Schizosaccharomyces pombe: one gene and its partners. The gene in region 4 interacts genetically with the main gene of each other region. Each region holds a gene or a part of one and is shown on either strand. Other genes may lie near its edges.

The links.
Region 1: of mbx2 (region 4) and lkh1, changing one suppresses a phenotype caused by changing the other (phenotypic suppression), as found in Schizosaccharomyces pombe (one study listed by BioGRID).
Region 2: of mbx2 (region 4) and pfl9, changing one suppresses a phenotype caused by changing the other (phenotypic suppression), as found in Schizosaccharomyces pombe (one study listed by BioGRID).
Region 3: of mbx2 (region 4) and pfl3, changing one suppresses a phenotype caused by changing the other (phenotypic suppression), as found in Schizosaccharomyces pombe (one study listed by BioGRID).

Annotation. Positions count from the first base shown.
Region 1 is NC_003424.3:655,557-662,212, reverse strand, and holds lkh1 (dual-specificity), read left to right. Parts: upstream 1-2,035; 5' UTR 2,036-3,380; coding exon 3,381-5,453; 3' UTR 5,454-5,972; downstream 5,973-6,656. Other genes in the region: 3' tRNA-processing endonuclease tRNAse Z L2 Trz1, read right to left, coding at 5,973-6,656. UniProt on the Schizosaccharomyces pombe protein: Protein kinase that may act as a negative regulator of filamentous growth and flocculation. Appears to have a role in normal cell wall and septum formation and in cell separation.
Region 2 is NC_003424.3:5,525,815-5,529,470, reverse strand, and holds pfl9 (DIPSY family glycoprotein), read right to left. Parts: upstream 1,780-3,656; coding exon 799-1,779; 3' UTR 512-798; downstream 1-511. UniProt on the Schizosaccharomyces pombe protein: May be involved in agglutination during conjugation or other aspects of colony formation. Induces flocculation when overexpressed.
Region 3 is NC_003423.3:669,059-674,782, forward strand, and holds pfl3 (DIPSY family glycoprotein), read right to left. Parts: upstream 3,778-5,724; 5' UTR 3,604-3,777; coding exon 682-3,603; 3' UTR 523-681; downstream 1-522. UniProt on the Schizosaccharomyces pombe protein: May be involved in agglutination during conjugation or other aspects of colony formation. Induces flocculation when overexpressed.
Region 4 is NC_003423.3:3,624,714-3,629,158, forward strand, and holds mbx2 (MADS-box transcription factor), read left to right. Parts: upstream 1-1,925; coding exon 1,926-3,044; 3' UTR 3,045-3,945; downstream 3,946-4,445. UniProt on the Schizosaccharomyces pombe protein: Acts in transcription regulation. May bind to a MEF2-like typee II promoter sequence.

The DNA of each region.
Region 1 (6,656 bases), on a different chromosome or scaffold from region 4:
CTGCGTTTTATAGATGTTACTATGTATAGCAAGATTAATTAACATGTTATTGTTATTTGTTATTATGTTTTTAATACTATGTATTTATAGCATCTGTAATGTCTGCGTTTTTCAACTGCCAAAGAGCGCATTTTCTACAAGTTTCGGTTAATGTTGCAAATAACCGATTAGACTTTCATGTCATGACACTTGATTTCACTTGTGCTGACGCTTTTTTATGAACGGCATATCGCTGTTCAGCTGCTTTACCGACATGTAATGGCCAAATCTCGAGCTTGACACTTTGTAAAAAGTCTCAATAATAATTCCCCATCCACAACTGACATACATAATTGATAGTACTTACTAGCCTTTACCCTTGCCAGCCAGACAGCTTCCACTGTACTGAGGTCAGGGATCATGACATAGACTGATTGCAAATTACGAACAAGACCGTCAATCTGCACTTTAGCATCTCCTAAAATAATAATCGTTAAAGCCGACTAGCTATTAGGGATGACGGGAGGAGCAAAAAAATAGCCTGAAAAAAGAAAAAGAAAAGAAAGCGTATTTAAAGAAAGGTTAAAATTTTCTTTGTTCTTTCAATAAGTAAGCAGTTTACTCCTGGTCCAGAAGTGCGACGGACCTTGCGTGCCGGTAAGGAAGTTGCAAAAAAAAAAAAAAAGGAAAAAAAGAACCGAGATAAAGTTGACTTTCAACTTCCGTCTGCAGTAACCGGATTTCCCAAAAATTTCAACGGGTAATTCAATTATGCAAGGGGATTGTCATTCTTTTTTTTACATTTTTGAGTTTCACGACACATTAGTCCCTTAATTGCAGCTACAACCATGCCTTGTTGCCTATTTTTTTCCTTTGCTTAATTACAATTTCTCACCCCATTTGAAGTCATGTTGATTGAATTTTTCACATCCCGTTTTCAAGCTCTAACATCAGTCATTGTAGATGATTGATTGTAGAAAATTATATTTGTTTCCTTTTCGCGACCATTAAATGATTATTCAATAGTTGATGAATTATTGCCTTTGTTGTTTTGTTACTCATCATGGCAATTTTATCGTATTATTTGTTACATAGATTATTGTCATCCACTAAATTTTTTGATGGCCAAGCGTCGCTGTTTGGACGAAATATTCGATTACCGAGGACGGATGGCCATAATCAAGACTAGTTTGGTAAGAGAATTTGGCAGATGGGCTGGACGACATTTGTTGAAAGTGTGAGAAACGCTTCTGAAAAGGCATGTTTTCTATATTTCATTTCTATTCTGGTAAAGAATTGTGCGGAATACTATACCATGGACAAATGGGGCGGGCGACAAGGCAGCTACAGTATAAGCGGGCATATAGCATTCATTGTATAATACAGTATATAGTACATGGTAGGTAGAGTTGGATAGAGATGGTGAGAATGACAGTTGCATTATTTATGCGTAAAACTATATGTAAATTTTATAACTATTTATGTAAACATGCGTTTATATATGTGTATGAGTGTGCATGCTTGTGTACATTTGTGTGTGTGTGTATGTGTGGTGTGTATTGATGTTTGAATGGTATGATGACAATGATAAGCCATTTCTTACGAAAACTCCTTAAGTGAATATGGTTGAGTTGAATGGAGCGGCATTTGAATGGTAAATGATTAGTGATCTAAATTAATGAAAATTCATTCAGCGCCTCTGCCTCTACGGCCATGGCGGTTTTCGTAGATCTCAGCCCTTCAGAGTAGCAAGCGTCTCTTACGCTATAGTTGGGTGACGGCTAGGTACGTTGCATACTGCGCACATGGTGTTGTGGAATGTGTATACTTTTTCATAGGAAGGAGGTGCCAAACGCAACGCGCCTGGATGGTGATTGTTGGGTTGTTCCCTCGTCCGGCCAATTTTTTCCAGCTATTTTATTTTAAGGATAGAATAACAATGATGTTGTTCCGGTCTCACAAACATGATTATCTCATGCAAATTTCACCTTTTCTAAGTGGCTTTACCAAAGAAAACGCAACTTATTATTATCCAAACTCTTGCTAATTCCTTTTTACTTTCTCCACATCCCTCGAATTGGCTTGAGGCTTTTTCTTTTATCCTTTCTATCCTCAATTACTAGTTTTCTTAGCAGTTGTATTATTAGGACATTGCTTTGTTGTTTTACCCCCCCCCCATTGGAATTACATTCTGTGGGATTGAAGGAAAGAAAAAGAAAATTGCTTATTAAGAGTCGTATATACTTCATTCTTCAATTTACTACACTCACTACTTGCTTTTCTCCATCTACGATCTACCATTTTGTTAGGTAGACTTTCGTACTACAGCTACATCGCTTGTCGTCGACTTTGTGTGCTTTTGAAAACTGCCCTGGTAATTGCCGATTCTTTTGGGGGTTATTTATACTTTTGTTTTATCCAAATTACTAATCCGCCTGATTTGGACATTGATCAATTTTGGTAGTAGCGCAATCGCACCCCCTCAAACACAAAAACCTCATCATTGTCTCATGGTACAATATTGCCTTGGAACATCATTACTTTAAAGCAATACGATTGATACAAAGGTTTCCGCTAGTTGTTGATTGAAGGTTTGGTGTTTATCGTTTTTTCGTGTTTGATTTGCCTTTACAGACCCTCCGTGTTCGGCATACTTATTCTCCGGTATTGTAGATATTTATTTCTCTCCGATACCTTTTTGCATTTGCTGTTTCTCTTTACTGTTGCACCCTACATTTGATTGAGAAAGGGGTTTAGTGGTTGTCGTCAATTGTCTTTATTCTGAGAAAACGGCTTTCTTCTCCCTGATATAAGAAACCATTTGGTTTGATAAATATATTTCAAGTTCACTTTCTCACTGTTTTCCGCTTCTTTGCTGATTTATCGTTTGATCGACGGCCTTGCAATTTTACAACGTCGAGAATTTTAACTTCTTTCTTCGTGATTGCATTCAAATTTTGAAACTCTTTCGAAGTAGGTGTACCAGTTAACTTGATTGCTCATTCTTCCTCCCATTCTCTGCTTCTTGATGAACTAGCTGTTCTGGTCCAACACCAATTGTCGAATGCTTGTCAGTTCAGTTCTATTGCTTTAATTCGTCCATTTTTTATTTTTATTTTTTAAATTCCGCCTTTCTATTTTGTTCTTACCCTTCGACGAGTCGAAAAAAAAGGTTTTTTATTGCTTTTGTCGCTTGGTGACTTCGAACAAGGAAACTTTTCCCCTTATTATTGTTTGAGAAACACTTATTTTCGGTGGTTGGTATCTCTTTTCATCATTTTTGCTTCTGGTTTTGCATAATTCTAAAAGATACTTATCCCTTTTTTCAGGTTTCGACGTCTTCTACCTCTTCACTTTACCAATTTGCTCGCATGACTTAGACGGAATCTTTTTATTGTAAAATGCATTCCTTAAAACGTCGTAGAAATCATGCGCCTGATTGGCAGGACTTTTATAAAAATGGTGTTCCACAAGAAGTCATTGTTATAGAGGACTCAGCTTCTCCACGGCTTACCCCTAATTTACCGCCTCCTTTTTCTGTTCATCAATTACAATCCTTCGTACCTCCGCAACCTCCCTCATCATCATCACCCTCTACCACTGGCACTGTGGCAGTCCCTATCAATGGTGCGAATGCTGTTTATCCATCAACTAACTCGGTATCTCTTCCTCAATCCTATGATCCATGGTTGGATGCTAATGGCGTCGTTCCATTACCGCATGATGTCGCCAGCCATCCTTCATATATGGTTCAGTCTCCTACATCGTATCATGCGTGTTCAAATAATCAATCGCCATTTCCCCATTCACATCATCCTCCCCTTCATAATCCACTACCTGTTTCATGTCAACCTGTTTTACGGCCGCCTCCTGTCCCTCAAGTTCCTTCACACTGGTACCCGGTTTCGCTTCCCTCTCCTAATTTACCTCACCAACCAATTTCTAAACCTCCAGTGATCCCTAATTTACCAAAGCTCCAAGTCCATCCGAACAGGCTTCCACATCCCATCCATAATCATCCTTACTCGTCTCCAACCTCTTATCCTCCCCCACTATGTCCTGCAACGTATTGTCCTTCTAACCCTCCTCAGCTAGCTCCGGCTACTGCTATCGCTCCTTCCTCGCAATCGTCTCAACATAAAAGTGTAAATTATTCCGTCACCCCAAGTTCCATTAACAATCATACCGCTGTACCATTATCTCCAACGCTGGCCGTATGGCTTCCGATGACTCAACCAACTTTCCAACCTCCTTCTGCAAACGTTTATCAACCGGCTTCTAATGCCAATCAAGTTATCACTCCTGTATCTATTTCCGATTATCGACCTCCGAAGAAAAGGAAGCGAGCTGCATGGCCCCCATATAAAAAAGTCGACCGCGTAAATGTTCCTGTTGTGCATGATACTACCGCTTTTGATCCATCAACTTTTGATGATGATGACGGTCATTACAAGGTTGTACCTAACTCCAAATTTGCCAACCGTTATACAGTTGTTCGTTTGCTTGGGCACGGTACTTTTGGCAAAGTTATCCAGTGTTACGATCAAAGTACAGGTAGACATTGTGCTATCAAGGTGACTCGAGCAATTCCAAAGTACAGAGAAGCTAGTCTCATTGAATTAAGAGTTTTACAAACTATAGCTCATAGTGATCCGACAAATGAAAATAAGTGCATTCAGTTACGCGATTATTTCGATTACCGCAAGCACATCTGCATTGTGACTGATCTTTTTGGCTGGAGTGTCTTTGATTTTTTAAAGAATAACAACTACATTCCTTTCCCTTTGAAGCATATTCAGATGCTATCCCAACAACTTTTTAAAAGTGTTGCGTTTCTTCACTCTTTGGGACTAGTACATACCGATCTTAAACCCGAAAATGTTCTTCTGGTATCTAATGCCTCAAGAACTATTCGATTACCTTATCGGAATTATTCACAGAAAGTCCTTAATAGTTGTGAAATCCGGCTTATCGACTTTGGTAGTGCAACATTTGAAGATGAATACCATTCCAGTGTAGTGAGTACTCGTCATTATCGTGCTCCAGAGATTATTTTAGGGTTGGGTTGGTCTTATCCTTGCGATGTTTGGAGTATTGGATGTATTTTAGTTGAGTTATTCACGGGACAAGCCTTGTTTCAAACCCATGAAGATAGTGAGCATCTGTGCATGATGGAAAAAATCCTGGGTCCCTTTGATAGGAATATGATTTCGCGTTCCTCTCGTACATCGCAACGTTTTTTTAAATCTGACGGAAAAGTCCGTTATCCTTTGTCAAATACGCCTAAAAAAAGCATTAATTATCTTCAATCTCTGCAAACGCTAGAGCAAATATTTGCAGTATCATCTCCAGAAGTGGCTTTGCTGCTTGATTTATTGAAAAAAGTATTCGTTTACGATCCTAAGCGGCGAATAACTGCAAAAGAGGCCCTTTGGCATCCCTTTTTCACCCAACCAATTTCTTCAAATTTGTGATGGATAAACTTAGAGATTTATAATTTACTTCATGTTTTTCAATAATTTTCACTCTTTCTAATTTACAAATCTACGGAAGTCTCGTATTTCTGGTTTGTGTTACGCTTTAGCTGATGTTTATTCGTTTGTTATTATTCAGTTTCTTAGACGAAAACTCGCATGTTCTACAATTACTTTAATTGCATAGAGTACTTGGTTATCCGATATAAATTAAAACTCAAAATTGTCCTCTTTTTAGATTATTCCATAAAGGTTTGATTAAGTCGTCAATTACACTCGTAAATTTTGGTCCTTGGGTTAAATAGTAGTTACTCAGTGAAATAAAAGAAAAAAAGATCATTAATGGTTTTCAGGACTATTTTAATAGATACGGATTACCTTGACAATTTTTTTGAAGTCTGAAGTATTTTGTTATGAACATAATTGTATAATGAAGAAAAGGTTTGCCCATTTCATTAAACAACAGAGATCACTTGCCTGAGACCCAATTTATATAATATGAGACAATAGCTCAAGTAGTTAGAACTTTAAAGGATCCGACTCCTCTTTTAAATTTTCCTCATTAAATAGATAAGCCAGAGGCTTTCCAAAATAACGAAACAATGAGATATCCGATATTTTAAGAGTCATTCCATCAAACGCCAAAGCTATATGTAAGTCTTCTGTCGAAATATCAATGTCTGGTAATTTGGGATATCGTTGGCTAAAATGAGTCAAAATAACGTTTTTTGTACCAGCTTTTTTGGCCACTTCTAAAGCTTCAGAGTAAGTACTGTGTTGCTTTTTTATTGCAATTTCGTGCATAGAGTCTTCCAAAGTAGCTTCGTGAATTAATAAAGTTGAGTCTTTGGCAATGTTAGCAAAATCCTCAGAAGGTCGAGTATCTCCAGAGTATGCGATCTTCCAACCACTGGAATTAGTAATCTCCATGCAATATGAATACGGGCAGTGTATGGCAGGAACCGTTCGAAAAGATACTAAATCAAATTCTTTAAATAAAGAAGACAACCTAGAGGATTCCAAAGCAGACGGCTTCCTGTCAGTACGTAAAGCACTATTGGAAATAAATACGATGTTGGATAATGGTAGATAATCAATCCTTGAGTATTCTAGTAGCCAAAATTCAAATTGTGGAGGTGCTGTTATAAACAACTTTGATCTGCCATCTGAGTACTTCGTCCAAGCCTTTAAAACCCCTATAAC
Region 2 (3,656 bases), on a different chromosome or scaffold from region 4:
GCTTACAATTATTAATAAGTAAAAGAGACTTTCCACAATTTAAATTCTTGCTTAAGTTTTCTTTTTTAGTAATAATGAGTAAAAAAATTCTGAATGGTCTAATATTAAACTCAAAACAAGCGCTAGACTAGTCTAGCTCCTTATCTTTAATTGTCATTTTCCTTATACAAAACTTGTCTATAGTTACTATTTAGATCTAATATTTTTTTAAGTGATTAAATTTCACTTAAGGAAATTATAACCAGTTTATCCAAACTTATCTTTAAAACCGGCCACCACTATTTTTTACGAAAAGCATAATCTACAAAATTTACTAAAATTTATCCTTTCCTGTTCAATTTTAGTACGGTTTACCTAAACCTAGTTATTTAACAAATATCAATGATTACTATGAAAGCAATTAATTTGAACTTAGATTAAAATATGCATTCCTAATACCACTAGTTATGATTAATTTAAAAAAAAAAAAAATAAATAAAATACAAATTTTGTTTACGAAAGTAATAATTGTGCCGATAACTTGGAACAGTATTTTATTAGTAGAGCAATCAATTTCTAGTGGAAAAAATAATTAAGAACTATTTAAATATCCCTATTTTCAGTTTACAGCAGAACTTGAGAAAAATATGAAATCCGAGGAAGTCAACTTCTTGACATCTTCAATAGGGATTGATAAAGGATTTCATGGATTGTAATTTTAAAATATTATATCAAATGAATGTAAAAAAAATTATATGTATGACCTGAAATACAAAAAATTAAACGAGAGTATGTGCAATTCTAAATTTGCTGCTTCAACTAATACAGTTGAAGTGTAACATCATTGGCCCTAAAATTTCTTTCGTCGGTTGATGAAACTTCTGTATCATATTCTTGTGAAGTCATCCATACTCTTCCATTGTTATCTACATGAAAGTGTAGTGGCTCATTATTTCTTGATTCAACAGGAGTAAATATGCCATCGCTATTTTTAATGAGATTCCAAGCACTTGAAAAACCATTGCCTATAATTGGATCTTCAATGTATACAGTGTAAGACGGTCTTTGACAATCACATGTTAATACTCGTTGAATAGTGGAATCATAGTAGAAAAGGTTTAGTCCCTCGTTGTCTCCATTAGTTGAAGCAAACATATTCCCCTCTCGACCGGCACCATTAGTTCTCACGGGTGCGTTTGGATCCATGTACACGTAGGAAGGGCTGATTTTATCATTGTCTATTTTAAGATGGAATGAATTTTCAGGACTGCATCCACAGGACGGTGTGATAACCTCCACTTCACCTGACTGTGTTCCAGAAGCTGTTCGCACTGTAGTTGTTGCGACAGGATAACTGGATCCAGAAGTCAATGTAGTTGTGAAAGTACCAGCAGTAGGGATTACCACTTCAACGGTATCAACAGGTGTGTTTTGACCGGTAATGGTAGTAGTATAGAGTTGCGAACCAGATGTTATAGTAGTCGTAATAGTGGATGTGATGATAGACTCAGAGGATACCGAAGTTTCATCGATATTGTTGCTAGATACGCCAGATGTCGAGATAGATGTTGGATAAATCGTTGTAGTTCCCGGTGTTATACCATTAGTGTAAATAGTAGTGAATAAAGGGCAAGCTGTTGAAGAAGCTTCACCGCCTACTGAATTGGTATCTTGACTTGATTCAAGAACAGCTTGGTTTACGCTTCGCTTTTGTATCTGTGTAAAATTATATGTGTTCGCGTTAACTAATAACAAAGGCGCCAGAGCAAAGCTAAAAATTATGTACTTCACCACATTCATTGTTTATAGGAGAAAAATTTTTAACGACTTCTGATCGCTAAATATGAACCGAAAAGACGTGTGAGAAGGCCTGTTCATTTATACAAAAACTGCGCATATAAAACCAGTACCCAAAATTTCGGAAACCCCCTTATTGTTAATCCCATAGTTATTTTTATTCGAATTCTCAATATCAAATTAAAAAATTTGAGTTCTATAAAAAGATCATTATCGGAACTTCGAAATTAATGTAGTCTACTATTTATACTGCTTCTGAGAAACTTAGTTACTTTAAGACAAGGCAATGCACATTTGTTAACGCGGCTCGCATGTTTTCGTAGTAATTCACATACCGATCGAGTTCGCAATATATGCTAGCAACAGAAATTGACGCCTCTCGTTAATTTTCTTAAGAGTCTATTATTAACCTACTTCTCTTTCAGTACAGTCGCCTTAATGAATATTTTTTTGATAAAACTACATTCATATTATTGATTTGATACTATGTAGCAAATTTCTTATAAAACACCTATACTCACTGCAGACAGTCTGGAGGCAACTTAGCACTGAAAACATGTGATTCGAAAAGGTAGTCAAATTTTTTTGTTAACATTTTAATTACTAGGTTGTTAATACTGAAATAAAAAGATGAAGCAAATCAAAACATACCTATCATTTTCAAAACATTTTAGAGTAGTTAAACCGGCATCACTCATTAATAGCCATGAAAGCTTTGGCTTATATAAACCAATATTGATGCAACGAGCACCGATTAAAGCTACAAGTGAATCGAAAAGCTTTTATCAATCGACTGCCCTCCACAGTAAATTGAACTAATTTCAAAAAATTAAAGAGTTAGTTATTATAAAAGACTAGTTTTAATTAAGATGTTTAACGGTAGCAACTTAATGCATGCCGATATAGATATATATATTAATGATTTAACGTTACAGTTGCTGAATAAATGATTAACTGATATTTTTAAAATTATGAAAAAAATGAAAGCATCAACTACATGATACATAGATTGAATAAATAAACCAATATATATCACAAATTTATTCAGAGTGATAAACCGACAAAGCATGTATATTTATCAGAACAACCATACAATTGTACCGGCAATAAAATTAAATCATATAAAACACTAATTATTCTCTTGATACTTTGCTGCGCATTCCAAATAAAGAAATACACGAAATTTTCCCATGATATTTACACTGATATTATTTCGGACGAAATGTCAGTCATTTTAACCGAACACTTTACTAAGAGACAATGATTTATCGATTGCATTTCGTTCGCTTATCATTTAAAGTTCATCTATGCAACTGAGGACGTTTAAAATTTAGCATTTTAAAAAAAAAATTTATTCCTTTTTTGAGACATTAATTTATTAAGAAATACCACTCTTAACTTTTCTTCTTTGCCTGAGCCAAATATCAAAAAAGAAAAAAACTCCATATGATTTAGGTTGTTTAATGAAATTTCGCTAGACAATTCTTAATTGAAAACTGCTCGGCTATTTTATTGTTTAGCATTGAGTTATTTTTTTATAACAAAATAAAGAGCTGAATCCATACTTAGCGTTGAAGTCTTCTTAATTTTTATATACGCTAAGACATACTATTAATATTTGGAATGTCAATATAGTCCAGATCAATGACTTTGGACCTGGTAAATTATTTGCAATTAGTATACTATTATTAGAAATATTTCATCGTAACAAATTCTATGAATCGGTATTTGTTTTTAAGTACGTTTGATAGAATTGGATAGTATATTTACAGGTATAAAACGAATCCATTAAGGTTTTGTCTTCAAATAACACCAAAAACATAAATTCTGTAACAGACTACTGAGTACTTCTGCATTTTATTTCACAAACTATCGAAAAG
Region 3 (5,724 bases), 3.0 Mb from region 4:
TTAAGAACTAAATGACTGCTAAAAACATCAGTAACTACTATCATTAATCAGAAATCTGAAGAATAAATCAACATTGTAGAAATCCTTTTCTCTGCAATTTGCCAAAGCTCCGATCATGTTAGTTGAGCCAGTAAATAAAAAAAAAGAACAAATGCTTCCTAACAAATCTACATTTTATCCATAGAGAGCAAAATTTTACGATTGTTCTTTTATTTACAGAAGCATCCAGCTTAATTTTTATAATCAATTTGAAAAGCAGCTCTGAGTCAACTAAAGAAGAACGAAACATGCCGCCTTGTTTACTACTAATTTCAAGGTCTGCGAAATCCAATTTTTTTAAGAGTTTAATTTAGCAAAACCTTGCCAGTGTTCTATGGCTGCCTTTAAATCTAAATTATAAGGAGTAATGTCTTATACGTGAAGTTATAATTATCGATAAACTATGGTTTCTTATGAAGAGCTTTGCAAATGCTAAAGAATGCTACTGGAATCATCGGTAACAAAATAATATAAAAAATAGGATAATGATTTAGTATATATATATATATATATATTAATTATTAGTAATAATTATTAAATAAAACATCTAAGTTTATTCATAAAAGCAACAATTAACGACTGTAGAATTTTTTATTTTTTAACTCACAAAACACCAGTACGCGATAGAGAATTCTCGCGAGCTTATAAAGGCACAGCCTTAAAGTAAACATTTGATGCACGAACTTTTTGATTCAAAATAGTAGATGACGATGAATCCATGGCTTTGAAAAAGAAAGTGCTGTCAGCCAAAATTTTAACATCTAAATATTCGGAAAATGCGCCGTAAGTAAGCTTAAACTTGTAAGTTCCATCTCCTTCATCCTCAATGAAAAAGTAAGTTTTGGCAAGATCACCCTCCATAGTACGGTAATAAGGTCTTTCATCACAACATGTAACAACCCGCTTCAAAGTACTATCGTAGTAGAAAATTCCTTCAGAACCGGCGGGCGAAGGGTTCGAACTAGCAATACCAAATCCGTCAGATTCCCGGTAAGTCAGGTAAGAAGGAGAGATTGAATCGTTTTCGACAAGAATACGGAATGCATTACTGCTGGTACATTTGCTATTACAGCCAGGGAATAAAGAAGGTACCACTTGTAATACAGTACCAGTAGACGTACCCGAAGCTGTAGCCACGGTAGTAGCATACGAACTAGAGCCCAATGAAGTTGTAACAGTAACATACCCAGCAGTAGGTTCAACGATCATTACAGTTCCCGATACTGTACCCTGTACAGGATATGTGGTAGTATATCCAACTGATCCAGAAACAACCGTTTCAGTAACAACACCAGCAGTCGGTTCAACAACCTCAACCGTTCCTGAAACAGTGTCATGAGCCGGATATGTAGTAGTATATCCAACCGATCCAGAAACAACCGTTTCAGTAACAACGCCAGCAGTAGGTTCAACAACCTCAACCGTTCCTGAAACAGTGTCATGAGCCGGATATGTAGTAGTATATCCAACCGATCCAGAAACAACCGTTTCAGTAACAACACCAGCAGTAGGTTCAACAACCTCAACCGTTCCTGAAACAGTGTCATGAGCCGGATATGTAGTAGTATATCCAACTGATCCAGAAACAACCGTTTCAGTAACAACACCAGCAGTAGGTTCAACAACCTCAACCGTTCCTGAAACAGTGTCATGTGCGGGATATGTAGTAGTATATCCAACCGATCCAGAAACAACCGTTTCAGTAACAACACCAGCAGTAGGTTCAACAACCTCAACCGTTCCTGAAACAGTGTCATGTGCGGGATATGTAGTAGTATATCCAACCGATCCAGAAACAACCGTTTCAGTAACAACACCAGCAGTAGGTTCAACAACCTCAACCGTTCCTGAAACAGTGTCATGTGCGGGATATGTAGTAGTATATCCAACCGATCCAGAAACAACCGTTTCAGTAACAACACCAGCAGTAGGTTCAACAACCTCAACCGTTCCTGAAACAGTGTCATGTGCGGGATATGCAGTAGTATATCCAACCGATCCAGAAACAACCGTTTCAGTAACAACACCAGCAGTAGGTTCAACAACCTCAACCGTTCCTGAAACAGTGTCATGAGCCGGATATGTAGTAGTATATCCAACTGATCCAGAAACAACCGTTTCAGTAACAACACCAGCAGTAGGTTCAACAATGATATGTTCACCGCTGACTGTTCCACTAGCAGAAACTACACTAGTAAAAAACCTTGAACCAGACACTACAGTCATAGTGTTCGTACCAGCGGTAGGCAAAACAACCTCTACAGTTCCACTCACAGTGCCACTAGCATCCGTAGTAGTGGTAAAGAACTTTGAACCGGAAATTTTAGTAACAGTACGGGTTCCGGCAGTAGGGATTACTACCTCAACAGTACCACTAGTAGTTCCATTGGCAGGGAATGTGGAAGTATACAATTCAGAACCAGAAATCTCGGTTTCAGTGACAGTACCAGCAGTGGGTATCACAACTTCAACTGTGCCCGTCCTTGTTCCACTAGCAGGATACGTAGTATTAAATATTTCAGATCCTGAAACAATGGTTTCAGTCACCATACCAGCAGTAGGGTAAACAATAACCTGTTCACCGCTGACTGTTCCACTAGCAGAAACTACACTAGTAAAAAACCTTGAACCAGACACTACAGTCATAGTGTTCGTACCAGCGGTAGGCAAAACAACCTCTACAGTTCCACTCACAGTGCCACTAGCATCCGTAGTAGTGGTAAAGAACTTTGAACCGGAAATTTTAGTAACAGTACGGGTTCCGGCAGTAGGGATTACTACCTCAACAGTACCACTAGTAGTTCCATTGGCGGGGAATGTGGAAGTATACAATTCAGATCCAGAAACGGCTGTTTCAGTAACTGTTCCAGCAGTGGGTATCACAACTTCAACTGTACCACTAGTAGTTCCATTGGCAGGAAATGTGGAAGTATACAAGTCAGATCCAGAAATCGTAGTTAAGGTGATTGTCCCTACCGATAGATATTTTGATGTAATATCATTAACGCTGGTATTTGAATTGGTGATGCGATTGGAATACGGCGTTGTAATATTTGACGATCCTGATGTTGAGTAAATAGCAGTTGTCGTCGGATTTGTAGGCAAATTGGTTGACCAGGTATCGTTAGTTGATTTATGCCTCTCTGACGATGGATGATACTCGTACACAACATCATCGGTCCCTGTAGTATCATAATAGACAGACGTATAATCAGAAGTTCCACTGAAGAATGTAATTGTCTTCGTATTATGTCGCTGAGAAGAGGTTGTTGAAACATTATTAGAAGTAAATTGACCACTTGTTGATATCAAAGGCGAAGAAGTACTTAACAATGTCCCGTTGGATAGGCTTACGCCATTACTATAAGAGTTGGGGGGAATGGTAATTGTTGTTTCGTACTCGCCTTGCGAATAAATAGTAGTATATCGCAGACATGTGTCGCCATCGTCCCGGCGCACAAAATCCTTATAATCTACCTTGTCATGCTTCTCTGCATTAGAAGTCGATTTTAGTGTAAATGCAAGAAAGAGAAGCCTTAGTAGAATTTGGGGAAACAGGCTCATGTTCCGCGAATCTCTGTATCAATCAATCGTAAAACACAATATACATAAATAAAGCTTTTGCACTTTTGATCCAGAAGTTCCCAAATCGGCTAAAATTACTCGAACATAAAAAACCAAAACTAACTAAGCAGGTTGAAAGCTTTTTATACTTCGCAATAAAAAATTCTCAAGTCTCTCGATCCGTGTACCCAGCCAGTGTGTTTATAGGGATAAAATAAAATTACATCTTCATAGAAAACTCCGAAATTTTTCGGCTTCAAACAGAACAGATGGTAGGCAAGCAGCCGTTTAATCCTGACTGATTTTAAAAATAACTTTTTTAACCTTCCTGACCATATTGCAATGTTGGATAAAATATTACCGTACCGGATTTATCCGAATGCTTGAATGGCTTGAGATTTCCCTATGTGAGTACTATCTTAAAGAAAAAAAAAAAAAAAAAAAAAGGAAAGGAAAGGAAAAAGAGAAAAACAAAGAGATTATTTTCTTCAGTCCTTAAAAAGTCTATGGTGAAACAGTAAACGAATTTGGGAGATTTATTAGCGAATTTTTTTCCATTCCTGCGAGTAACTGATGTGTTCCATTTTATATACTTGATGAGAGAGCGTCTAAAAATTTTATACTGCTTTTCTGAATTTACATAGACTAATAAGAAAACCCGCACTAGATAGGAAGATTGACTAAAGAAGAAAGGAACAAAATTTACGACTTAAATCCAGTGATCTGACAAAATCTTCTGCATATTGCCTAAATGTGATGATTTTTCGTTTAATTTCCAGAAATAACATTGTTTTTATTTATGATTTAATCTTATTGTCACGTTCATTTGTTGTTTTCTAGTTTCATGTAGATCGTCGTCTCTTTAAGCTCACTTGACTATTTGGGGAAACCTGGGTAAACGAGAGAAAGCATCGCTCTACAAAAATAGATTTGCTAAAATATAAATTGGTTTATTCATAGAAAACTTACATAGATTAGTAACAAGTACAGAAATCTAAAACAAACTCTATCGTAAGCTTATTCGAAGGTTATAAATGTGGATGATGGGTGAATAATTGAATAAAATGAATGTACACAAGGTTTTCTATACGCAACGGTGTTGTATGGTATTAAAAAAAAAAGATACCTTGCAAATAAAAGGAGGATAAATTGAAAACATTAATAAATTAAAAAGAAAATCAACATTGAGTAAAAGCAAATAAAATAAATCAAAAAGAATAAAGAAAAAAATAAAATAAAATAAAAAATAAAAAAATGATATGCAATGACGAAAAATTATGAAATATACAATTCTATTCTATTTCATTTAATTATTAAATTTAGTGGACGTAAATTAAAGAGAAAATTCAAATTTAATATAAAATTATTAATTTTGTAAGTTTAGACACAATAATCCATCAAGTAAGCATAACTCTGACATAAAGTAAATAAAAAAAAAAAAAAAATTAAAAAAAAAAATTTAATAATAATTATAATAAAAATTTAAATGAAAAACTGTTCAACATCAATACTTATCATAAATATTCCGACTCAAAACACTTCCTCTAAGAGTTTTTTCATCTCACTCATAATACTTTTTCTATCCAAATTTCCGATGTTTTTTCCCATACCATACATACTGTGGCTTAAACTGATAACTTACTATTCCTCCTTAACAGCCAAGAGTTGACTGTTTTACCAAGTCCATTTCGAACTGCTATGATCGTTTAATAATGTCATTTTGCACATATTTGTTTGCCATATGCATGCACATTTGCCATGCCCCTTGTCCATCTTCTATGTGCTGCTGGAAAGTCGGGTAAACGGGTAAAATTGAAGGTTTGTAGCATGTGTGTATGTGCTATCCCATCTAATGAGCTTGGATGGAGTTATTTGCTTACTGATATTGCAAAGGGGGAAAAGCGAATTGGAGACTTTTTTCTTGCATTAGAAGGGTACTATTGATTACCTTTTGTTTAATAGGGCACCTTGGCAGAATGCGAAAAAGTAAGCCAGAAAAAAAGGAAACTCTAGAAAAAGAGAGGCAATTGATTAAAGAGTATTAATAATAATAATATTTAAAGGAAGAAAAGAAAAGAAAGCCAATAATCGACTGCTAGAATATCCAACCCATTTAAATTT
Region 4 (4,445 bases):
AAACTACTTCGTCTAGCTATACTAAAGTATAAGCAGGTCGTAACGGTCGATTCATTGCGAAATCAAATTACTCATAAGCTACCTCTCTGGTTATTTTTTCCCAATGTACTGTATTCGTATTGTACCCCATTCTTACCGGATACATTTATTAATAGAGCAAGTTACGAAAAGCAAAATCAGAGCGAGTCTATTTTCGGACTTGTGTGTCTAAGTATAGTCAAGGAGCGGAGACAACACTCGTAATATTGTTCCTTCACGCCCTCCTCCCCCTTTCCCCTTTGAATTGAGTATCGTACACTGCATCAGTAATAGGGTCAGCGTTTCCAATTGACTGACTGGTTGAAAAGTGAAGGATTACATACGAAAATCCCTAAACGCGATCATCAGCGCATTCCGAATTTTCGTATCTTTCTATCTCTTCGATTCTTTCTTTAGCCTTGCCAAGTATTTTGGCTGGCCCATACGCTTTGCCTGACTATCGCGTCTAAAAATAAAATCCCCTTTCCAAAACCTTGGATTAGGTGCATGGGATTACTATGATTCTTTCCTAATAATTGCTAATCCCGCTTTCTTTCTATTTTTTTCTACTATTACTGCAAAGTCAGGTTTGCAATCCAAGTGGACTTTAACCATACTCAAAAGGTACCTTCTAACCTTCTTTCCATTATGTCCATCTTCCTCCTCCAATTAAAGGATTTTCCTACTTAGGGCTCATTTAATCGAGGCTATCCCACCTTTTTCATGAAAAAGTATTCGGCCTTGTGACCTCCCCTTTTCGAAAAGAGAGATGAAGAAATAGTTTAAATTACCCGAGTAGCCGAAACGGTGAATTTTCAGAATGTCTACATGAGGAACATAATGTACACTTATACGCGTTTGTATATTGAGAATTCATCGGTAATGTTGGCAAAGTGCTACGCATCTTCGGATAAACGTGAATGGAAGACATTTAGCCCCTAATTTTGGTGTACTTATGCAGGAAAAACCTATCCCTTAACAATTGCCTATGGAGGGAAAGAGAAAATTTTTTTCGTTCACTATTGGAATTTATTTTCTTTTGCATAAATATGTACAATGGTATGTTACGATGCTGGCGTCGATACTTGTCTAAGTTAGAACGCAGTGTGTATTACGAAGGTTGCATTAAATAGACGTTGCGGTTTCCTAGTTATTGCTATCCCTGTATATATATACACATATATATGTACAAAAACACGTATTTACACGCACTTATAAACGCACACAGACAACAAACAAATACCTAATTTTATAATTTCAAGTTGTTGAGACAGATTAATTTATTTATAAAACTTGGCGAGAAGATATTTTTAAACCTGACATTGAAAAGGAGGGGACAATTGTTAAAAATATAGCTTCAAAGGCAAAAATTTCTCCAAAGTGTTGATTCTTCCTCTTTCTATTTTAAAAATAGCACACAAAAACATCTAGTCATTTAATTTGTCTTTGTTCCTCTCATTTGTAAACACTTGAAAACCACCCGTTCCGGCTATCTTGTTTACTAAAAAAATTTTTTCTATTAATATCTTTAGTTTCGTCGCCCGCTTCAACCCAGAGTACAAAAACAAAAATAGCTTCCTCGTTTTTAAATCTCAACTTAGATTCGTCTAATCGACTATCAATTACGAGCACAATTGGAGAACTTTGCGCTCTTGTTTTCTCAAGCGAAAAATCTACCCTCAAGAGATCCGGTGCAGAGAAGGGAAGACAGGGATAAAAACTGTTACATAAATTCCAAGAATAAACCCCATCTGCTGTTTTCTATTTGTTCCTTATATACTTGCCCGTTTGCTCGCTCGTTTGCTCGTTTGTTTTCGTCATTCTCCCTATACCTGAATTTTGGTTAACCTCGTCGACTCTTTTTCTCTTTTCTCGTCAAACCTTACTAAATATATACAACGTCTAATATGGGGCGCAAAAAAATCTCCATTGCACCCATAACCGACGATCGTTCAAGGAGCGTAACTTTTGTCAAACGAAAACAAGGTCTCTACAAAAAGGCGTATGAACTCGCTGTGCTAGCCGATTGTGAAGTCGCCGTCACAGTCATTGATCGGAAAGGACGTTTGCACGTCTTTTGTTCCTCTGACTATCAACGTACTCTTCAACAACTCAACACTCTCAGCATATATGAGTTAAAAAACCGTTCTCATTTTTCGTCATCGCCTGTCGAAGAGTCAAGTACCGTGTCTCCAGAAACGACAACTGGTTCATTTACTCCTCTTAATAATAAGCATTTGAAGTCACAGGACCAACCTTTATCAGACTCCCAACTCGACACTGGTGATTCTCCTGCAACATCGGAAACGACTGTTCAGGACTATAATCCTCAAGTTCAGTCTTACTGTCGTCCCGAGCCTTTATCGTCTAATCACGTTCGTTCTTGTCCTCCATTTCCTCCCACACAACATCATCATCCCCATACTCGTCCTCCTCATCATCCACCTCATCCTCATTTTCATAACAATAACTATCCACCGCCCTATTGTTTCCAATCTCCTGTGTCTCCGGGTGCTACAGTTCCATTGCAACATCATTCTCCGTACCCTAGTGATAACGGCTTTCCTGGTCATCGTAGGCAAACGCACTTCGCTCCTTACTACTATCCACAAAGAGCTACGTCTCCTTCTTTGAAACAAGTTCCAACTTATCTGGGTACTCATGTACTGCAACAAGACCAGTCCACCTATGATCAGAAGGTCCTTATGCCTCCAGCAAGTTATCTTTCTTCACCTAATCAATACACCTTAAAAAATGTCTCTCCTGGTAACCCGGCTTGCCCTCCTTTTCTCTATGAACATCCAAATCCACAGCTAACGCCTGAGATGTTTGATGTTAAACAAGGCTCACCTATTCCGCCTACTGCGTATTCGGGTAGCAGTTGTGAGACTTCTCAACATACCATTGCGAATACTCCATTTTTGGCATATGATCGCTCTCCTTCCTTAACGAATCAAGAAGCTGAATCATCCTTCCAAGACGTAGCTTCCATTAGTCCACATTCACTCAGTGATGTCAAATACTAAAGAATATCATAGAAGTCAATCTCCCTTTCAAATGTCTTCATCATGTGTCCTCCCTGGATCTAATGAATCGTATACAAGTAATAATTTTAGTTGGCATACATCTCGATCAAATCCTTACAATCGTTTTCTTACTCAAACTGCATATGATTTGGAGCAATCCAAGCACCAATAGTTTACTGCCAAGCTGTGCGATGCCCATTTTTTTAATTTGACTTACATCGCATTCCAGTAAACAATTGTTAATACTAGGTCTATCAATTTATCGTTATAGTTGAATTACGCGAACGAAATTACTGACCTAGCAATAATTGAAGTTTGGAATGTTGTTCAATAAAATGGACACCTACCGATAGCTTATGGATTCAATGTGAACTACAAACCTAGCATGATTTCAGACGCTAGCAAATACAAATACCTGAACATTTCAGATGTGCCAATGGTTTAACTTTGTTAACTTCCATCTTCGGTATTTTGGATCCTCCCTGTTATGAATTCAAGATGGTGATTTTCGGTTTAAATATTTATTTGCAAACTGCGGGCAGTTTATCACTTATTTATTCAGGCACGCATTTTGTCTATTCAAGTGGACTAAGTTTTTTCGTGATTTTGTTTTAACCACCTCCTTCCACTTCATTAATTAATTCACCAACATGTAACATTCGCGGACCAACCTTTATGTTCGCATTCAAATTTTTTTTTGGAGCCGCTAATTTCTAATTAGACGTTTCTCATTCGTTTTCAAGGTTATACATGGTTTATTTTCGTGTGTTTGACTCGATTTTTTGCTAGATTTTTCACGGTTTCTCCTTTTTAATCAAGAACGTTTGACGATTCACAGAACCTTTTTCAAACCCCTAATTACAGTTTTCAACAATAACATGAGAAATTCGAACTTTCCGTGTAGTTTTACAGAGTAATGTTTAAGTGTTTGTTAGTATGTCGGTGTGTAAGTGTAGCGTAGCGATAACCGTCCAGCTTCAAAGGTAAGATGCAGGGGAGTAATGCAGCAGCTAATTTTATATGGCGGAATGAGCATGGTAGCACTCTTCAAAGAAGGTGGAATAGGAATTTGGCTTCATGCGAAATTATGTTAACAGAAACCTGAGTTTCTGTAACATATTATTATATACGTGGCTTAGGACATCCAAACAAATAAATGAAATTCTTTAGTATAAGAAGATGAAGAAGATATAAAAGATTACCAATGTTATGCAAACGATGGAACATGAATCAACCGCATAAAACTCAGTCGCTGTATCAAAAATGACCATCGTGGGATGCTGACATAGGCAATCAAGTTTCTCACTTCAAATAAATTAGAGACTGATTTGGCAAATATTTGAGAATTGATCCTCTATTTGACAAATCATTTTAACTTATTTTATGACAGACAAGTCTGTT